Linked DNA regions of Coturnix japonica. The protein of the gene in region 1 purifies or fractionates together with the protein of each later gene. This does not show direct contact. Links are inferred from orthologs where the notes say so. Each region holds a gene or a part of one and is shown in the gene's direction. Other genes may lie near its edges.

Region 1 (4,269 bases):
CTATGACTGCCTTTTCAAACAAGGAACCTTTCCATAGCAGAGTAACCCTAACACCAGGCTCCCATTAACCTATGGCAGGTTTGGGAGCCACCACAATTGCTTTAAAGACAGCAGCAATCACTATTGCAATCCGCATGGAGCACTGCCTAGTGCACATTACACGTGTTTTCTCTGCACATATCAGATAATACGTCACAGGACTTTGGTTGCAGTTTCATAAGCAAGTTAAGATTTTCCTGCTACTGAAGCTTTAATTTAAGAAATTTAAAAAAGAAAAAATCAGAAAGAATTCAGAACCTGAGTTTCACCAGGAATTCCTCTATCTCTATGAAAACAAAAGCTAAATACGGTCTTTAACTTGGCTAGTTAAATAAGAGAGGATTATTGCCTTATGTTCTTTCCAGTTGCTTGTTCAGGATTATTTGGGAGGCAATGAAGCAGTGCCACAGAGCAGATTCTTGCCATTTTTCAACAGATAACACCTCTCCTTTTACAGCTTTAAAATACAAAACCAGAGGCATCTGAGGATGCAAAATAGAGCCCCTGAAGAAAGGCATGCCAAAAAAATGCACATCTTATAGAGAGAGCATGACATGGAGGAACCGAGACCGACTGGTTACAGCAAACATTCCTTCCCCTTTGCTCACTATTTTGTTTCTTTGCCTCAATAGCAAGCAAAGAATTTAACCCTTTCCACTCACTGCAAGGCAAACCCGGCTGGAGACAAGTGACTCCTATTAAGCAGGAAGCCTTTGGTAAGTGGCTAATTCCAAAAGGGCACATTGGGCCAAATTCTGACCCACTTTATTGATTTTGTTGTTCTTTTAACTGATATTTCACACGCTTGATAAGTTACTGTAAGGAAATGCCACACCGGCAGCCCCGTCATTTAGGATGAAGACCACTGCAATACACGTTACACACACCGCACAGCGTCACAGTGTCACAGTGCGGTGCGGGTTGGCAGGGACCTTAGAGATCACCGAGTCCAACCCCGGGATTGGAGCCTCTGTGCTGCAGAGCGGCACTGCTACCACTTGCGCCACAGGGGGATTCGAACCCAAGGCCTCCAGCGTTGCAAAGTAGCGTCCTTCAGCACTGCGCCCTCAGTGTCACACCCCGCTCCCCCACACACCCATGAAGCCGTACCCCACACACTGTACAGCGCTACCCCCTATTTCCCCACCGCTCTCCCTCAGACCCGCCCACAGCCGCGCCCTGCACGGGCGGGAAAAGCTCATGACCCGCAGCTCCTCCCGCGCATGCGCACGAAGCCCCTCACAGCGCGCAAGCCCCGCTCCCCCCAGCCAGCATGCGCCGCGCATGCGCAGCATAGAGCTCCGTCTCTCCGGTCGGGCAGGTCCCGCCCATGTCGCGCATGCGCGGTCCGTCCAGCCTACTGCGCACGCGCCGTCCCCTCCCATGGCGGCGCCGTCCCCTCCCCGCAGTGTAGTGGGGCCGTGACGTCAGCAGCGGCGGCCATTACACGGGCAGAGCGAGGGTCGGAGCGCTCTGTTCGCTGCCGTGCGTTGGGCGCCGCTCCGCCCGCAGCTCCACGACCCGCTGCTGAGCCGCGACCACCGGGATCGCGTCGTTGGGGCCTTTGGGGGGAGCGGCGGCAGCTGGTGGTGAGGGGGAGGAGGAGGCGGAGGAGGAGGGGGCGAGCGAGCGGCTGCGTGCGGGATGGAGGAGAAGGTGTTCACCAAGGAGCTGGACCAGTGGGTGGAGCAGCTCAACGAGTGCAAGCAGCTGTCCGAGGGGCAGGTGAAGAGCCTGTGCGAGAAGGTGAGGCGCGGCGTGGGGAGCGGAGCGGCGGCACGGGGCGGGGCGGCACCTCCGGGGTTGGGCACACGGGGCTGTGAGCAGGACGGATCGGAGCGGTGCCGGGCAGTGGGTCGGCTCCACACATCGGCTCGGTGGGTCGCTCTGTTGGGCTCCGCTGGGCGCTGCTCGCTCTGCCCGGCGCTGGATGAGCCGCGGCCCCTCGGCGGGCATTGCCGCGGCCTGGCCCCGCCTCCCGCCTTTTCATCGCCTCCTAAAATGGCGCCGCTGCCGGGAGCCGCCGCCACAGAGCACGAGAGCCGCCGCCGGGCCCGGCCCTGCCGCTCCGCCATCCGTGCGGTGCTGTGCGGTGACACGGGGAGGCCGTGTAGGGCAGGGAGCGTAGGGCGCGGTGCGGGGCTCCGAGCTGCTGTGAGCACGGCGGATTATTCAGTTATTCATTTACCATACAAATATAGGATCGCGGTTATTTCTAATTGAAGCGGAATTTTAGATCGACCTGGGGAGTCGGGTTTGTTTTTTGTTTTTTTTTTTTCCAGAATAAAATGGCGCTTAGTGACATAAAGCTCGTGTCGCTGTTTATTGCTACGGTGACTGATGGGGATCCGCGCAGCACAATGATGTGCTGTGTGTGTAGTGTAGGAGCGGCTTCACATCGGCAACTGTGCTCTAGGAATTAAAGGAATAATAGCTGCAGTGGTACCCGGTTGTATTGTCCGGTTACAGTCTGTTTCTGAGCGGAATTAAATCCTCAGCCATCATGAGCCATTATTTTCCCTTCAATTACTGGAGGTTTTATTTGTGTGCACCTTTAGATTGAAGGAATTGCCTTTTTTGGGGGAGGGATCTAGAAATCAATGCGTATGGAGGTTATTGATGCCCTCGGTCCTAAAGAAGGCTGCGTGCCTATCACAGGAGGAAACAGGGGTATTTTAAGGTTGGCACCATGCCTTCAAATAGTACAGCGTGTTGGTTTAGAAGCAGATTGTTTCCAGAGGGTTGTATGTGGACTTAGAATTAACTTGCAGTGCTTTTGGCCATACAGGTTCTTGTTGTGTCCCACATTTCAGTCGCCTCATATTCCAGCAACTCAAAATCAAAGCCGTTAGATATAGTTTGTGTGTTTAACGTGGTGTTCCAAGCAAGTAGCAGGTTAGGGATTGTTTCCCTTGTGTGTCTTTAGTGCCAGCACTCTGACTTTTTCCTCGTGTCCCATTTGCCATCACTGATGTGCTGATGGAAGGGCTGAATCCTGGCTGGGTATTTCTAATGTGGTTGTATGGCAATCTGTAAAAACCCGAGGAATAAATGAAATTCTTTGCATTTAGTGGATGCTGTGGATAGGTGAGCAGTAGACATGCCAATAGAAACCGCACAAAAGGCACCATAGTCCTGTTCATAATCTGTGCGAGGATGGAGGTGTCTTCATTTTTTCCTAATGAAGAATTGAATTAGTCTATTTCTGGCTGAGCGTGTAATGTTCATCACCAGAATAGATTCATGACACTAGGAAAGAAAAAGCTGTTCTAACCTGAAACGATTCTGATAGGTTCAAGGCAAGGAATCACGAGGCAGGTGGGCTCTGTAGGAGCAGCAGACTCTGTTGGAGAGGCTGGAGGAATGATAGGTGATGAGCTGCAGGAATTGTTTGGATGAAGGAGTTGAATTAGGTTACAGAAAGCTGCCTGTTCGACTGCTGCATTGAGATGAAAGGCTGCAAGGACAGGAGAGAGGCTGATGTGAGAATACCACTGAGCAGCAGGGATGGTTTGCCACAAGTTGGAGCCAGCTCCAGACCAAAGGTGGAATGTCTTTGGGCAGCATGACACTGTGCTTGAGATAAAGCTCCCTCTCTATTACTCGGTTGAGGTCAACACTTTGTGAGGTACATCCAGGCTGTTTGTATTAAGGGTGATAACTACTGGTGGATTTACCAGCCCCTGTTAGTGGTAGGTGAGATGCTGTGTCAAGCTTTCCATTGTCCTGTCCCCCCCATGGGTTGCTGTGTTCCCAAAGCAGGGCATTAGTTGAATTCTGTGCCTGTCTGCAGAGGTTCCTCATTTATCCTGTTCCCAGGCTTCCAGCACCAGCTCTCTGCAGTACTGAATTATGATTCGTGTTTTGATTATTGTCTGCAATCACACCCAAAGGTTATGATTTTCCATAGAGAGCTTAGATGTTAAGGGTGGTGTCAAACATAGTCACTGTTTCAAATGATGGGTGCAGACCCTATCTGACAGAAGCTGTCATTCCTCACTGCTCTGAGCTGTAGCTACGATAGAAAAAAGTAATCCCTCTTGTGAAGGCTTTTCCCCATAACATGCTGTTTATTAGGTGATCTTCTGACTGGTATTTCTGGATCTTCTGAGGCTTCGTGTGTGTCTAGTAAGACGAAGCCTGAGGGCTCTGTTGTGTTTCAGTATTGATAGCAGAAGAACACAACAGCTATTTGCAGACACAGTGCAGTGCAGCACAGTAACTCAGTGT
Region 2 (3,973 bases), on another chromosome or scaffold:
CTCAATCCACTGCAGCATCACCTTATGTCTCATGAAATATCGTCTGTGTTTTCTATCTAAACCGCAGAGCTGCCCTTACAGTACAGCTGACAACAGTTCTATCACGTGTGCTGGCTGGTAGGAGTAAGAATACAGTAGTCACCAGTGTGCCACAAATGCATTTATTAAATGCAGAAATACGTGTTTCTACAAAAGGCCAAAATCTTACGTTGTATGTTCCTTTCTTGTCATTACATTGTATGATATTGTAAGATTATTGTATGTCCTAATTTGCATTATAAAATGTTTTTTTTTTCCTACTTAAAGGCATAAATATAGCAACTTTGTATAAAGGTAGCTTTCTAGATTTTTATTTCTTTTATATAAAAAGGTCTAAACAGTGAGAGTATCATTGCCAAACTGTTTATAAAACTTCATTTGCCCTGTTGGATGAATTTGTTTTTACAGACATTCCATATTTCTTTGATGAAAATTATACTATGCAGAAAGAGTGTATTTTTATGCCATTCCATGTTAATCTTAAAAAAAAAAAAACACACAAAAAACCCCAACAAACAAAAAACAAACAGNCCCCCCCCCCCCCCCCCTTGTTTGAAGCGATCCTAATTGAGAAAGCTTACCAAATGTTCACCTTTAAAGCTGTATTATGTATTATGATGTTTTCCCCTTTACCAGTGCCAACTTCATTTGGAAAAAAAAATAATAATAATTGTAGCATGGCAATAAACTATTGATTTTACATTGAAAATAACGTGTGGGTTACTTTAATATGTGCTGCTGTTAGTGTGGGTGCATACTGCATTAGTAGCCTGTTTTGCTCTTCTGTAATATCACACAGGATTGTAGGGGTTGGAAGGGACCTCTAGAGATCATTGAGTCCAACACCCCTGCCAAAGCAGGCTCCCTACACCACGTCGCACAGGTAGGTGTCCAGGAGGGTCTTGAATATCTCCAGAGAAGGAGACTGCACCACCTCCCTGGGCAGCCTGTTCCAGTGCTCCGTCACCCTCATATATAAATGTCTAATCTCAACGAGCCCTGTTTCAGTGTACAGCTTAGTAGCTGTACATGCTCTGTGCTCTGTGACAAGTCCCTTTCCTGTATGCCCCCATTGAGGTAATGGCGGGCTGCCCCATCCCGCTCCCTCCCCCCGCCTCGGTGCGGACTGCATCTCCCACAGCGCCGCGCGGCTCCATCCCCGCCGCTTCCTGTGACGGCAATTCCGCCGTGCTGTGGCGCTGTGTGGCGGTGTGTGAGCTCGTCCCGTACCGGAGCCGGCTGTGTGTCCCTCGGCATCATGGTGAGCAACGGACGGCCCCGCACCGCGCCCGCGGAGCTTCCACCCGAGGGGGGGAGAGGGAACGAAGGAGGCGCGGAGCGGCGGGGAGTGGAGTGGAGTGTGGAGGAGGAGGTTGGGCCTGGAAGGTTCCAGAGCGCGCACGAGGCGAGCCCGTTAGGCCGCGGGCGGGTCTATTCAGTATTAATGTACTTGTTATCAAAACCAAGCGTGACACGGGAATGATTTCAGTATTAAAGCCATCTTAGCTTGCTAGTGCTGGGGATTTGTGTTTAGAATACAGTGTTTTGTCAAAGCTCCGGGACTATTCTCTGCTCTCTCTGCTGTAGGCGTCCATTTCTCTCGCTCCCGTCAACATTTTCAAGGCAGGTGCAGATGAAGAGAAAGCAGAAACAGCTCGGTTGGTAAGTTTATTCTCTCAGATAAATGATGCTCTGGGTAATTACAGTCGTTCTTTTACATTTAAATTTACTTTCAATGTGTACTGCTGTAGAGCTTCAGTAGTCTCGTTTTGTCTTTTGTTGTTACAGAAGGTAGAAGTGTTTTGTTCATATCAGCAGTGTTCTTCTTTCAAGGCCATGCTGGATGGGGCCCTGGGCAACCTGATCTAGTAAAGGTGTATGTTTGGTGGCCCTGCCAGGCAGGGGGGTTGGAACTACATGATCCTTGAGGTCCCTTCCAACCCGGGTCATTCTGTGATTCTGTGTATCTCAGCTTAGGAGGTTCTTATTCCTTGGAAGTCTTTTGGCTCTGTTATGTGGTTTTATGCTTACTGCAAAAATTAAGTACGTTACTGAAATGTAGCACTTAAGAAACTTGGAACCAGATTCTTCTGGAAGGAGTTTGCCTGTAGAAGAATTTAGTTAAGATGTCCCCTTGGAAGTTAGAGCCTAGCTCTTACTTACTGTTTTAAAGTAGAAATAAAGAATTTTCTAAGGTGTATTTGTTTTTGTTACAGTCATCCTTTGTTGGTGCAATCGCTATTGGTGACCTGGTCAAGAGCACTCTGGGACCTAAAGGCATGGTAAGATAGCTTCAAGTCCTCAGTGGTCAGACCTGTTCATTTCAGGCTTTAGCCCACGCAAACCTCATGGAGGTTCGTGAGGCCAAGTGCAAGATTCTGCACCTGGGTCAAGGCAATCGCAGACATGAACACAGGCTGGGCAATGACTGGAGCCCTGTGGAGGAGGACTTGGATAGATTGTTGAATGAAAAGCTGAATATGAGCCAGCAATGCATGCTTGTAGTCCAGGAAGCCAACCATGCTCTGGGCTGTATTGAAACAGTTGTAATCAGCAGAGAGAGGGAGGGCATTGTCCCCCCTGTTCTCTCTTAAGAGGACATGCCTGCAATACTCTGGGTTGGGGTGCCTGACACAAGAAAAGCGTGGAGCTATTGGAGTGGGTCCAGTAGAGGACACAGGGATGATGAGAGGGCTGGAGCACCTCTCTTACAGAGACAGGCTGAAGGAGCTTGGCTTGTTGAACCTGGAGAAACAAAGGCTCCAGGGAGACCTCAGTGCAGCCTTCCGGTGTAGAAGCCTACAGGAAAGCTGGGAAGAGTGTGTAGTGATGGGACAAGGTGTAATATTTTTACTCTGAAAGAGGGCAGGTTTAGATTAGTTATAAGGGGGAAATACTTCACTCTGAGGGTAAAGAGGCCCTGGCACAGCTGTCCAGGGAAGCTGTGGATACCCCCATCCCTGGAGCTGTTCAAGGCCAGGTTGGATGGGGCCCTCGGCAGCCTGAGCTGGTGGACAGCGACCAGCCCACAGCAGGAGGTTGAAACTGGATGGTTTTTAAGGTCCCTTCTAACTCGCACCATTGTATGATAATTTAGTTTTAATAGTTACTGTTCTTTTTCAAACTGTTCTATTTCTTGCATCACGTAGGACAAGATTCTCCTCAGTACTGGGAGGGATAGCACGGTGACAGTGACCAATGATGGTGCAACCATCCTGAAAGCTATTGGAGTTGACAACCCAGCTGCCAAGGTCTTGGTTGGTGAGTTTCTAACAGTTTGTCATTGTCATACATGGAATTTCTTCACTTGTAACTTTCTTACGTAGTTTTAACTTCTTCATAGAGAAATATTCTACACAGTGTGAAAAATTGACATATTCTGTGATATTGCTTATCTATACTTGAGAGCATCTGTCTGGCCTTACTTTATTTTGATCATGATCTTTAGGCACACGTTGAGAGGGGGGTGGCTCTTGAATACTGATAGGCTAAAACAGGTCTGTGTTGCAAACGACGATGGGGAATTTGAAGGATGATGTTGTGTTTGATTTGCATCTCAGTTTCAGTCTGAGTTACAGTTTGACAGCCTCTTTGGCAGTGGAATTCTTTTTTCTTCCTTAAAGTCATGTGAGGTACAAATGCTGAAGATAATAGCTGCTAGGGGCGTTCAGTCTGTTTTGAATGCAAGCATTAATGCAGTGCCTTTCTTTTAGATATGTCAAAGGTTCAAGATGATGAAGTTGGTGATGGAACTACGTCTGTCACAGTGTTGGCAGCTGAGTTGCTGAGGGTGATGTATTAACATTTTTAGACGGTTTCATATAGGCTGTGTAGTCCTGGGATGCCAGTAGGAGATGTGTTGTTGATGCTTATGAAGTGGGCTCCCAAAGGATAGGAATACTTTGCCCCGTTGCCATTAAACTGGTAGGAAAAA

What was found.
Region 2: the proteins of PPP2CA (region 1) and CCT2 purify together in Homo sapiens (affinity purification with mass spectrometry; 4 studies listed by BioGRID and IntAct, with this or other methods). This does not show direct contact. The link is inferred for Coturnix japonica from reciprocal best matches to the Homo sapiens genes PPP2CA and CCT2.

The regions. Positions count from the first base shown.
Region 1 is NC_029528.1:2,281,234-2,285,502, reverse strand, and holds the start of PPP2CA (serine/threonine-protein phosphatase 2A catalytic subunit alpha isoform), read left to right. Parts: upstream 1-1,465; 5' UTR 1,466-1,683; coding exon 1,684-1,785; intron 1,786-4,269. UniProt on the Homo sapiens protein: Catalytic subunit of protein phosphatase 2A (PP2A), a serine/threonine phosphatase involved in the regulation of a wide variety of enzymes, signal transduction pathways, and cellular events.
Region 2 is NC_029516.1:32,200,887-32,204,859, forward strand, and holds the start of CCT2 (T-complex protein 1 subunit beta), read left to right. Parts: upstream 1-1,164; 5' UTR 1,165-1,297; coding exon 1,298-1,300; intron 1,301-1,626; coding exon 1,627-1,701; intron 1,702-2,255; coding exon 2,256-2,321; intron 2,322-3,188; coding exon 3,189-3,300; intron 3,301-3,752; coding exon 3,753-3,829; intron 3,830-3,973. UniProt on the Homo sapiens protein: Component of the chaperonin-containing T-complex (TRiC), a molecular chaperone complex that assists the folding of actin, tubulin and other proteins upon ATP hydrolysis.